3 linked regions of the Danio rerio genome follow. The protein of the gene in region 3 interacts with the protein of the main gene of each other region in a pairwise test. Links are inferred from orthologs where the notes say so. Each region holds a gene or a part of one and is shown on either strand. Other genes may lie near its edges.

What was found. The genes of interacting proteins can lie anywhere in the genome.
Region 1: the proteins of si:dkeyp-20g2.1 (region 3) and dtnbb interact in binary tests that used the Homo sapiens proteins (3 or more experiments, as listed by UniProt). The link is inferred for Danio rerio from reciprocal best matches to the Homo sapiens genes CCHCR1 and DTNB.
Region 2: the proteins of si:dkeyp-20g2.1 (region 3) and mid2 interact in binary tests that used the Homo sapiens proteins (3 or more experiments, as listed by UniProt). The link is inferred for Danio rerio from reciprocal best matches to the Homo sapiens genes CCHCR1 and MID2.

The regions. Positions count from the first base shown.
Region 1 is NC_133192.1:38,942,191-38,945,848, reverse strand, and holds part of dtnbb (dystrobrevin, beta b), read left to right. Parts: intron 1-2,881; coding exon 2,882-3,041; intron 3,042-3,658.
Region 2 is NC_133189.1:32,705,047-32,708,704, reverse strand, and holds part of mid2 (probable E3 ubiquitin-protein ligase MID2), read right to left. Parts: intron 591-3,658; coding exon 188-590; 3' UTR 1-187. UniProt on the Homo sapiens protein: E3 ubiquitin ligase that plays a role in microtubule stabilization. Mediates the 'Lys-48'-linked polyubiquitination of LRRK2 to drive its localization to microtubules and its proteasomal degradation in neurons.
Region 3 is NC_133180.1:24,162,008-24,166,094, reverse strand, and holds the start of si:dkeyp-20g2.1 (coiled-coil alpha-helical rod protein 1), read left to right. Parts: upstream 1-1,243; 5' UTR 1,244-1,410; coding exon 1,411-1,474; intron 1,475-4,087. UniProt on the Homo sapiens protein: May be a regulator of keratinocyte proliferation or differentiation.

The DNA of each region.
Region 1 (3,658 bases), on a different chromosome or scaffold from region 3:
GCTGAGTCTTCGAATTAGTTCGATTTCAATTTTGGCTTCTAACGATTATGAAAAACCATTAATCGAGATAAATGATTATTGCATCATAAACCACCCCCTTTCCAGTTGTACACGTGTTGCTCTTAAAAACGCTAAAGACCACATGATTCTGGTGCACACACACAGTCACAACAGAAGCATGCGGTCAGCATTCTGTCTTACTCACACACTGAGACGAGCAGAGCGTCACATCTAGATTAATCTTAACGTGAGCGCTTTACTGGTCAAATAGGTGTCAAAATGCAGTGTTTGGTGATTATTCATATTAACCTCAATAAACAAACGAGTTGAGAATCAAAAGACACGCGAAAGAGAAACCATTAAAGTTACATTGCGCGATAATCCTTCTTCCGTCTGTTTTTATGATTATTAATCAAGCAATAAACGGAGAACATGCCTCTCTGCTCTTGACTGAAGGACTGCTGCAGCTAAAGTGTTTTTCTGACAGTTAAGATGCCCAAAGCACAGTTTGTTTAATATTTTTATTCTATTGTATTTATTTCTCTTTCCTTTGCAGGGAGGAAAATAACTGTATATATGCAGTTGAAGTCAAGTCAAAATTATTAGCCCTCCAGAATATTAGCAGCCCTTTTCTCAACAATTTCTGTTTAATGGACAGAAGATTTCTGAACATAATAGTTTTAATAACTCATTTCTAATAACTGATTTCTTTTATCTTTGCTATGATGACAGCACATAATATTTGACTAGAAATTTTTCAAAATACAAGCATTCAGATTCAAAGTGCGATTTAAAGGCTTAATTAGTGTAATTAGACAGGTCATTTTATAACAGCAGTTTCTTCTGCAATCAAAAAATATATTGCTATAGGGGGCTAATATTATAGACTTTAAAATGGGTTTCAAAATTTTTAAACCTCCTTTTATTCCAGCCAAAATAATAAAAGCCTTTCTCCAGAAGAAAAAATATTAGAGGAAATAGTGTTAAAATTCCTTGCTCTGTTAAACATCATTTTGGAAATATTTATTTAAAAAAATACCAAGGAGCGCTAATAATTCTTTACTTTAACAGTAATCGTTTTGAATAATCGTGATTACAATTATGACCAAAATAATCGTGATTATGATTTTTCCCAAAATCGAGCAGCCCTAGTGGTAATTATAGATCTGCATTATTGATGGCGTTTACTTTGTGCACTTTTAGACAGAGATTATTTGAAAAGAAAATATCACTTGAACTTTTCTGAAGACACCGGCATTCCCTTTCTGTATATAGGATTTTCTTTTTATGCTGAGCTTTTGCAGGTGCATTATTTTTTTTATAACTCCAATATATACTTCTGCATATGATTTAACGTGGTTGGTCCTGCATAGTCACACATACCCTTTGCATTTACCCTGATGTAACTAAACATCACAGATACATGAAGCACAAGATTTCTGATTGGTCGGCATTGGAAGCCGTGAAGAGAGTAGAGCAGGCCTAAGAGTTGTGGGAGCTAGGCCAGTGGCGTGAGTGTTAACAAGTGTCGAGTCCTCCAGTGGAGCTCTTGATGGATATGTTTGCTTTGTGACTGTGAGATTGAGCTACTTCCAGAGTAGCATCGCACGTATTCTGGCGCAAACCCTACTGTCTACAAGTGTTCGAGAAGTGTTATTGTCAGAGCAACAAAAAAGAATGCATTAATGCAAGTAACAAGTAACATGTATTAATGCTCACAAAAGCGTTGTCTACATGTTAGCGTTGGCAATAGTATGGACTGTGGGGTACAGTAATCACTTGATGCAGAAGTATACATGAGGCATGCAATTAAGCAACATGGGCTCATTCTGAAAACGTGGTCCTATATAGGTTTCTGGAGATTACGAATTATGTAGCCAGAAGTACGTAAGGCTGCATTTTGTCTTTAAAGCGAATGCTATGGGGTGGTATGATGCTGTTCCTTTTCACGCTTACCAGCTGACTGCTTACCTCCATATGGACGGTTTTCCTGTAGTTACCAGTTTGTCCATTTAGCTCACCAACCATGTACGTCTGATAATGATGATTGGGTTTGAGTCTGTCGAAGAACGGTTCCAGAAAGCAGGTAAGAAAAAAACAGAGGCAAAAAATAAACAAGTAAACAGAGTGAAAATGTGATAAAATCTCAAAACGTGGTAAAAATCAGGCAAGGGCTTTTCTGCATTGCTTTTTTAAACTGTCGGTTGGGTTTAGGGAAGTGGATGGGCGGGCCAATCAGTATTTTTGAAAATACTATTGGTTGGGTTTGAGGAATGAGGAGGGTGGGTCAGTCAGTGAGTCATTCAGTCAGTGAGTTGACAGCGACCTCTGGTGGATTCACGTGAGAACAGCAGGCATGAATGGCACCCGTGAGAGATAGTTGAGATCTCAAAAGACATACACAGCAGCCCCTGGTGAATTCGTGAAAACAAAAATTGCAAAAAAACGTAGCTCTTGGGACTTATTTGTCGCTCTCCTGAAATGTATGTAGAAATTGGATATGTTTTCACAATGAGCCTGGGTTAAAATTAAGTCTTGTGAAAACTGTACACATAAACTATGAAAATAACTGGCAAATAAAACTCTGAAACAAAATTGTACAATCTATAAATTTAATGTTGAAAGCCTAATAGAATTGCACAAGTTTGAAATAAACAAAGTTCAATATTTATTATATTTGTTCAATTGAATGCAGACTAGAGTAAAGATCTGTTGAGTAAAGCAATTAAATGGCTGATTGTCGATCTTTAGGAACAATGTCGACCAGAAATCTATAGGCTTGTCTGCAGTGTCTTTGAGGGAGCGAGGGAACCCTGGATGTTCAGGTTATTGCACACCTTGTGTAATGTTTGCATTCTTTTTTTTCATCCCTGTTCTACAGGCTCAGACGGGGACCTCGCCACACTCATCGCCCAGCCACAGTGCCAGCTGCACCATGCCTATGCCCATCCGCTCCACCTCGGCCGGCTCAACCCCCACACACACGCCGCAGGACTGTCTGGCAGGGGTTGGAGACGACGTGCTGGATGCCTTCTCTCAGGGTGAGCAGGATGAAGCTCTGCATTGACAAACATCATTAGCCACACAATTGGAGACATGGTAAATAATATTAGGAGACATTAAGGAGACACACTGAAGATGTTAACGAGACATTTAGGGAATGTTAGAACATAATAAAAGTACTTTAGGAGATTTTAAGAAGGTGTTTAGGAGGTGTTTAGGAGATAATTAGAAATGTAGGTGGTGGTTTTGATATATTTAGAAAAAAATAAAAGTATATAATTAAGTTAGGGGATGTTTAGAAGGTTTATAGAGAAGAAATAAAGAACATTTAAGAGATTTTCAAAAGATGTTTAGAGGATGTTGGGGTAGATTATTAAAAAAATGTTCAGGGGATGTTTGTTAAGTTTAGAAGGTTACTGGGAATTGTTTAGAATATGTTTAAAATAGAGATGTTTAAAATGGCAGATTTTTTAAACTTTTATACAACACAGGCTCATTGTGAAAACGTTCCCCTATATACATTTCTGGAGAGTGCGAATTGTGTAGCCAGAGCTATATATAGCTGTGTTTCGTCTTTAAAACAAACGCTACGAGGTGGTGTGATGCTGCTGATAGCTTCTGTTTTTTTTTCTCACACTAATTTAATCGCTTAGCT
Region 2 (3,658 bases), on a different chromosome or scaffold from region 3:
GTTAAGTCTTAAATAATTTACAATTTAACTTCCCCCAAATCAGCTGTTAAAATCGGAGAGCTCATAATACACGCACAAACCGCTCATTTATGTAATCAACTAAAGCTCCAACTTCACCCAAGATCTGAACACTAGGAAAAGAAGAAGAGCAAGGGAACCTTCTGGAATAATCAGCTCCTTGGGTGCCTTAGTGGCAGCTCTTTATTCCAGAAACATAGGGTGACTCCTGTTGGCGGCAGATGCCCTCTTGCTGCTCGCTGCAGTCCACAAAGTCAGGCACCGGCAGCCCTGACATGATCATCAATGACTTGTTCCAGATCATGAAGGTGGGAGCCACCGGAAGCAGGAAGGAAACGTCAAAAGTGTATATGTGCTGGGAGTTCATGGCATCATAGAAGGACAGAGTGTTGTTGTCGTAGTCCAGAAGAACTCCCACCCTGCGCAGCTGTAGTGACGCTTCCACAATGGACTCCTTGTTGTTGTGCCGCACCAAGAAGTTATTGTTGCAGCGTGAGAAAACCCAAGATGATGAGTTTTTACCACTCCACTCGTTTTTGGGTGCTGACTTATAGGCCACACCAAGAGCGTACCTGAAGGGGAAACAGATGAACAACACTGTTAATGGATACTGGGGCATCATGCTATAGGTATCTTGGCTCTTTTTAGTGTCTTAACACAGAATTTACACCAGGAGTATACAATCCTGCTTATGGAATACATCTCTCCTGCAAATTGAGCTTCATCATCCTGCTTCTACACAACTGACTAGAAGTTTCTAGTAAGGCCAGAGATTGCTTTACTTTTGGGAGATAAGAGTTTTTATTACTTATCACCAAACAAAGTGTAAATGCCGACTTGGAGGTATATTAGGGAATATATAATGGTCTCTGATTTCATTCCTACACTTACATAAACGTTTCTAGAGGGACCAGAGATTGTCGTACTACTGAGAGAGAAAAGTCTGTATTCCTTAACTTTTGAAAAAAAAAAAAAAGATAATGGCTAACTTGGATCATGTGAGGGACCTTGGGCAATCATATAATGTCTTATTGCAGTGTTTCCCAACCCTGTTCCTGGAGGTACACAAGATGTCCAATCAACTTTTCTGACCCATTAATTTCAGGTTTTGGAATCTTCTAATGTTCTGATGAGCTAATTCACCCTCTTTGAATGTTATCATGTGATTGAATGGACTTTATCTGTGTAATATAAATGTAATGTGTGTATTTATATAGCACATTTGTCGTATATGGCCATATACCTAAAGCGCTTCACAAGCATGAGGAGGGTCTCTCCAAACCATCACCAGTGTACAGCATCCACTTGGATGATGCAACGGCAGCCACAGGACAATGGCGCCAAAGCGCTCACCACACACTAGCTATTGGTGGAGTGGATAGACAGTGATAGAGCTAATTTAGTGGCTGGGGATGATTGGGAGGCCATGATGGTAAAGACCGAGAGGAAATTTGGCCAGGACACAGAGGTTACACCCCTACGATTTACGAGAAGTGCCATGGGATTTTTAATGATCACAGAGAGTCAGGACCTCGTTTTATTGTCTCATCTGAAAGACGACACCCACTGACAGTATAGTGTCCCCTTCACTTTTACTGGGGCATTGTGACTCACACAGACTACAGGTTGAGCGCCCCCTGCTGACCTCACTAACACCCCTTTCAACAGCAACCCGCTTTTTCCATGTGGTCCTCCATCTGGGTACTGACCAGGCTCATCCCTGCTTAGCTTCAGTGAGTAACCGCTTGGGCTGCAGGGTGACATGGCTTTGGCGTGGTTATCAGCTGATAGCTATGGGGGGCCTTCTATGACTACTGGTAGGCTCAGAAGGCTGTTATCATCCATCCACATGACTAATAAGCTATACTAATAGAGAAGACTCCAGATCCAGATCTGATTTTACATTACTTTGACGGACATTACTTTGTCTACCACGAAGGTCGCAGTGTTAATATTAGTGATAATGCTGTTTGGGCTAAAGTTTGCAACATGCCTATTGCATAGGCCTTGGTGAGAGTGGAAACTTGATTAACTGGGTCAGGCAAGTTTAATTAGGATTGGATCTAAACTTTGCTGCAAAGTGTCTCTTATGTCCATTGTTGTTTTTGTATTTATGATCCTTTTATGTAGCACTGTGGTCCAGCGAGACACAACATTTTGTTCCTCTGTATGTCCACACATGTAGCAGAATGACAATAAAGCTTGACTTGACTTGAATTCTGTTCAGCTTTGTGACACACTAATACTCTTTTTCCAGCTGCTGAAAACTGTTTTCACTGGATTTGACAGAGAACAATTAAAATCAATGTATCCTTCATGGATTAGAATAGGATTGAATCTGAAAGCTATAGGTTGGCATCAGTTTATAGTTGAAGATTTTTGTATGTTGTATCACCTGTAATGTAGACCAAATATCTCATTATAATAGAATTTATTGACTGTTATTGAGTTGAGTCATACCACAGTTGTCAGGTGTGGTCATTATGCAAGCCAAGTGGACACTTGATGATTCTAGCCATGATTTTTTCATTTGAGACAGGTTAATCAAAATCTATTGTCTTTGGTCATTAGTTTGACATGTCTTACAATGACTGTCAAGCCAAGCATCAACAGGAGCACAGAACATGATGGCTCAATTAATGAAGCAACAATGAATTACCACTCACTCAATTATTTTTTGCCCAATATTAATGCTGGAGACACTTTTATTTGGGTTGCCACCTTTTCAGTTCTCTGTGTTTACCGTCAGTACAAGTTTCATGGATTGATGAAGTAAAACAATGGGGAATTGTTTGTGATTATGTCATTTTTTTAAATGAGTTTTGACTGTCACAAACTCTGGCAATAATGACTGACCACACAGAATGAATCGGGGGATTGGGGAGGGAGGTGGAACCCACCACCTGGTCTTCATAAAAAGAGGCTCGGATTCCTGGAATTGAACATGTAATCATTCTTAATAAACCAAGAGAAAATTTGAAGTAACCTGACAGCGATCAGAAGTGACATCCTGTAGACAAATAGCTTTTTCAGATAGCACAATTTTTAATAAATACAAATACTGAATATTAGAACAGAAAATACAAGCACAACAGTTGCACGATGTTCTTTGTGAAGCCAATCTGACTAAACTATGAATTTTAATAATGAATAAAAATGAGCAAAGTGTGTTGTTCAAATTGTATGGTCATAGTGGTAATATTCTAATCCACTATTTTACTCTGTGCTTGTCAACAGTGGTTTTAAATTAAGATACTGCATCACACATATTTACATTTTTTTGTGGATATGCTATATTACACTTGCAATACAGTATTTCTAAAGTGTGGAAGAAGTGGAGTTTCAGACTATTAAGAGTAATTTAAAGCATTTCTAAAACAAAATTGTTTATAAAATATTTAATTATTCTGTGTATTTCAAGTGTTGTACATCCATACACTCTCAAAAATAAAGGTACAGGAGCTGTCACTGGGGCAGTACCTTTCATACATTTGTACCCAAAGATTTCACAGTGGTAGCTCAATGAGGCTTATTAGTACCCAATTGTACCTAAAAAGTAACGCTTCAGGGACAAGTTTCTAACTTTTGAAAAGGTACTGCCCCAGTAACAGCTCCTGTACCTTTATTTCTGAGAGTGTAG
Region 3 (4,087 bases):
ATTTCCATCCATTCTCCAAGCAATTGATCAAATTAATCAATTTTCTAGTCTCGTCTTGGCAAATAACTGAGAAAACACAAATATTAAAGGTCATGTTTTTATGATGTCATCATTTAGACTTCCTATCAGTATTTTACAGTGTTTTAAAAATACACAACATTAAACATAATATTAACCTATTTTTATAAACCACATCAATTACAAATTACTAAATACTATTTTGTATGTGAAATACGCATTTGAAATACTTGTATCATAAATTCTGGCCATCCCTGATTATCGGGACTATAAAAGTGCATTTATCAAAACAGTTAAAAGATTAGTTCAGGAAAAACTAAAAAATCATGTTGTTTTTTACTCTTATTTGTAACAGTTTATTTTGTTGAACAAAAAATAAGATATTTTGAAAAATGTTGAAAACCGGTAACTATTTCCATACTATTAGTATTCCTGTTATTTACTTCTAACATTCTTTAAATTGTCTTTCAAGGGCTTGGATCAACTTGTGGGTGAGTAAATAGTGATAATAATAATTTATGGGAATAATTTTTGGGTGAACTATCCTTTTAAGCTGAATTTAGCATTATATAGAGTGGAAATTCTACCAGAAACGCACATTATCTGTACCTGAAATAAAACATAAATAGAGTGAATAAAAAAAGTATTTCATCCCAAAATGTCTAAAATGGACCGATGGTTGATTTCTGTGAGTTGTTCTGCAAAGGAGTCAGTGTCATTCATTTAGTTTTCAGATTTTCGTTCTTTATTAAAAACCCTTTACAAACTTACAAACCCTGTTATTGTCCTTTTCCTCAGTCCAACTGAACCTACAGCTTTAATCATTTTGTTATGCAAAAAACAGTGATTTAGAAAAACATATTCTTCAGAAATAGCAAAGTTGAAGTTGTTATCATTTACATCAATTAATTGAAAACATGAAATTATATATAAATTCTACAAATAAATGCTAAACATATAATTTAAATTCATTTACAATTGTCCCTATGTTTTGGTCAGTCACATTTGCATTACATTTTGCGTGCCTTCATATGACTCACTTGATGGAGGAAAGGATGCGCTCTATCATTGAATTGTATGATTTTATGCTTGTTTTGTATGGTTTTTTATTTATTTATTTTTGAGGAAGACAAGCTTAAGTCAGGCCCTGTCAATTTTTTTATAAGTGAAAATGTACGTTTCTTGTAGAATGTGCCAAAGACTGCAGGGGGCGCTGTAGTGCCTCAAACCAACCGGAAATCTCCTGTCATGACAACTGCACGCACAGCTTTGAACTCAACGGCGGGGAGAACGAGCACTTTGCAAAACAATGACTAAAAAATCATCAAAGAATCGGATTCGAGCATTTTACACGTTTATGTAGGACCGCTTGTGTGACTTTCAGTGGTTATCATGGATATGCGGAGATCAGAAAGACTGAACGCGCCGGCGGACTTTATGAAAGCTGCTGAAGCAGGTAAACCAACACAATTAACCGAATAAAAGCCACCATATACCAAATAAACAAACACAAACGACTCAACTAGAGCTCTTAAAAAAAACACTCGCTTATCTTTGTGTATAATATTACTGGTTGTAGTGTTGAAGCACAGTATTAGTCTGATGTCAACTAACGTTAAGGTTGCAAAGATACAAACGTCTAGGATTGACAGCAAGTGTGATAAAGCCGTTTAACATTAATCCAACAGCATTTTGATAATCAGTTATTCAATTATAACATTAATACTTATGATTGTTGTGGTAGTTTACATGTCTCAGTTGATTTCCTAGACTACATTGACTATTTGTACTATGCATGCTGTTCAGCATCTTAAAGTGAAGAGTTCAGATGCAAAAAAGAAATTTTCTCCTAAAATGAGCGTTATTTTGCTTTAAAGGCAATATAAATAACTTTTTGGTCACTATAAAAGTAAAATTTCTGAACCTACACACGAGTTGGAGGAAAATGCGCTAGCAACATTTAACTTAGAGGTTTTGGCATCTAAACTCTTGAAGTGAACTTTAAAAGGATTGTAAAAAAAAAAATAATAAAAATAAATAAATATATATATATATATATATATATATATATATATATATATATATATATATATATATATTTCTGTCATCATTTATTCATTTTCCACTTGCTTCAAACCTGATTGAGTTGCCTATTTCTGTTGAACACAACAGAAGATACGTTGAAGAAAGCTGAAAACCAGTAATCATTCACTGTCATAGTATTTTTTTTTTCTACTATAGAGGCCAATTGTTACAGTTTTCAGCCTTTTTAAAATAACACCTTTAGTGTTCAACAGGAGAAATAAACTTGAAATTGTTTATAATTCAGGGTGAGTAGAAAAAATGTAAATAATTTTTGGAGGGAACTATACCGTTATAAAATCTGAACAGATTAGAAATGATAACAACTTTAAATAAGTTCTGTTGTGTCTTTTTTGGAACTTATTTTTAATAAAGAATGCAACACTGCAAAGCAATGAGTACAATACAATTTTAAATTATTGTTATTATTAATTTGTGGTGTCATGGTGGCACAGTAGGTTAGCCTGATCGCCTCACAGAAAGAAGGTTGCTGGTTCTGTGTGGAATTTGCATGTTCTCCCCGTGTTCACCTGGGTTCCCTCTGGGTGCTTCGGTTTCCCCCACAGTGCAAAGACAGGCGCTATAGGTAAATTGAATAAGCTAAGTTGGCTGTAGTGTACATGTGTGAATGCAAGAGTGTATGAGTGTTTCCCAGTGTTGGGTTGCAGCTGGAAGGGTAAAACATATGCTGGTTAAGTTGGCGGTTTATTCCGCTGTTTCAACCCCTGATTAATAAAAGTACTAAGCCAAAAAGAAAATGAAGAAATTCTTATTTTGCATGTTACTCCAATTTCTAGCTGCCAAAATGGTTGTAAAGACATGTTGAGAACAAAATAAAAAAATAAAATAATAATAATACTAAATTAGGGCTAGTCATTGCAGGATGTATTATGGCTGTGAGAATGGTGCTGTGAAATTGGAAGAACTCAGATACTCCCACTTTTAAGGATTAGATTGAGCTGATGACTTCTACTGTATCATATAAACATACTGTATATTGGCAAGACTCGAGGTCTCCACTCTCCACCTATACTTTTCATCAGAAGTGGGGTAGCTTTTTACGGTATTTAGAGAGCATGTATTAGAAAAATTGAAGGGTTGTCATTTTGGCTGTCTATTGTATAATTTTATATTTAATATTTATGTTTTATGTTATTATTTTATTATATTTTGTTTACATTATTTTCCTGAATGTTGATTTTGTATTGTGAATGTTACGTTGTGTGGGGTATAGACGTTCAAAATAAAAAAGTTAATTGACAAAAAATACAAAAATACAAAAATAAATAAATAAATGAAATTAAATAAAAAAGGGGGACAATTAGATGGATGTTGTAGTAGAGAAAGAAAGGAGTGGCCTTGATCATAACAGTATGGCTCATTATTGAAGAATTAAAGGCATGACAGGAGGCCATCTCTTTAGGAAAATATATATTTTTTAAGTCGCATTGCATATGTGATTTGCTCCATTTCATACAGTTCCCACACTTTTTGAATCCAAGCATTATATGATGGAGGTTCAGAATTTAGCCATATGCATGTGATGCACTTCAAAGCTGCTGCAAGTAGAATTTGTAATAAGTATGTTCTCGATCTGTCATTAAAGCCCTTGGGGCACACACCTTCTGTAGCTCAGCGACTGTGTGATCTTCAGAAAATTGCTTTCATTTTTTTTTTACATTCTTTTTTTTATGTTTTTATTTTTTTTATTAAACATTTTTTATTTTGAACAAAGCCTGAGATCCACAAAATGCTCAAATAAAATAAAGACAATAATACTGTAATAATAGGTACAAAATCATAATTGAAACATATCTCATACAGTCATATTTAACCAAAATTGTACAGTTTTCTTACTGGCATCATTTATTTTATCTGTGGTGTATTCTAAACTAATACAGTCCAGTGCATCAGCTGGAGCAAATGGATACAGCCATATTTTCAGGATGTTTTTTTTTTCAGCATTCAGAACAACTGATAGAATCCT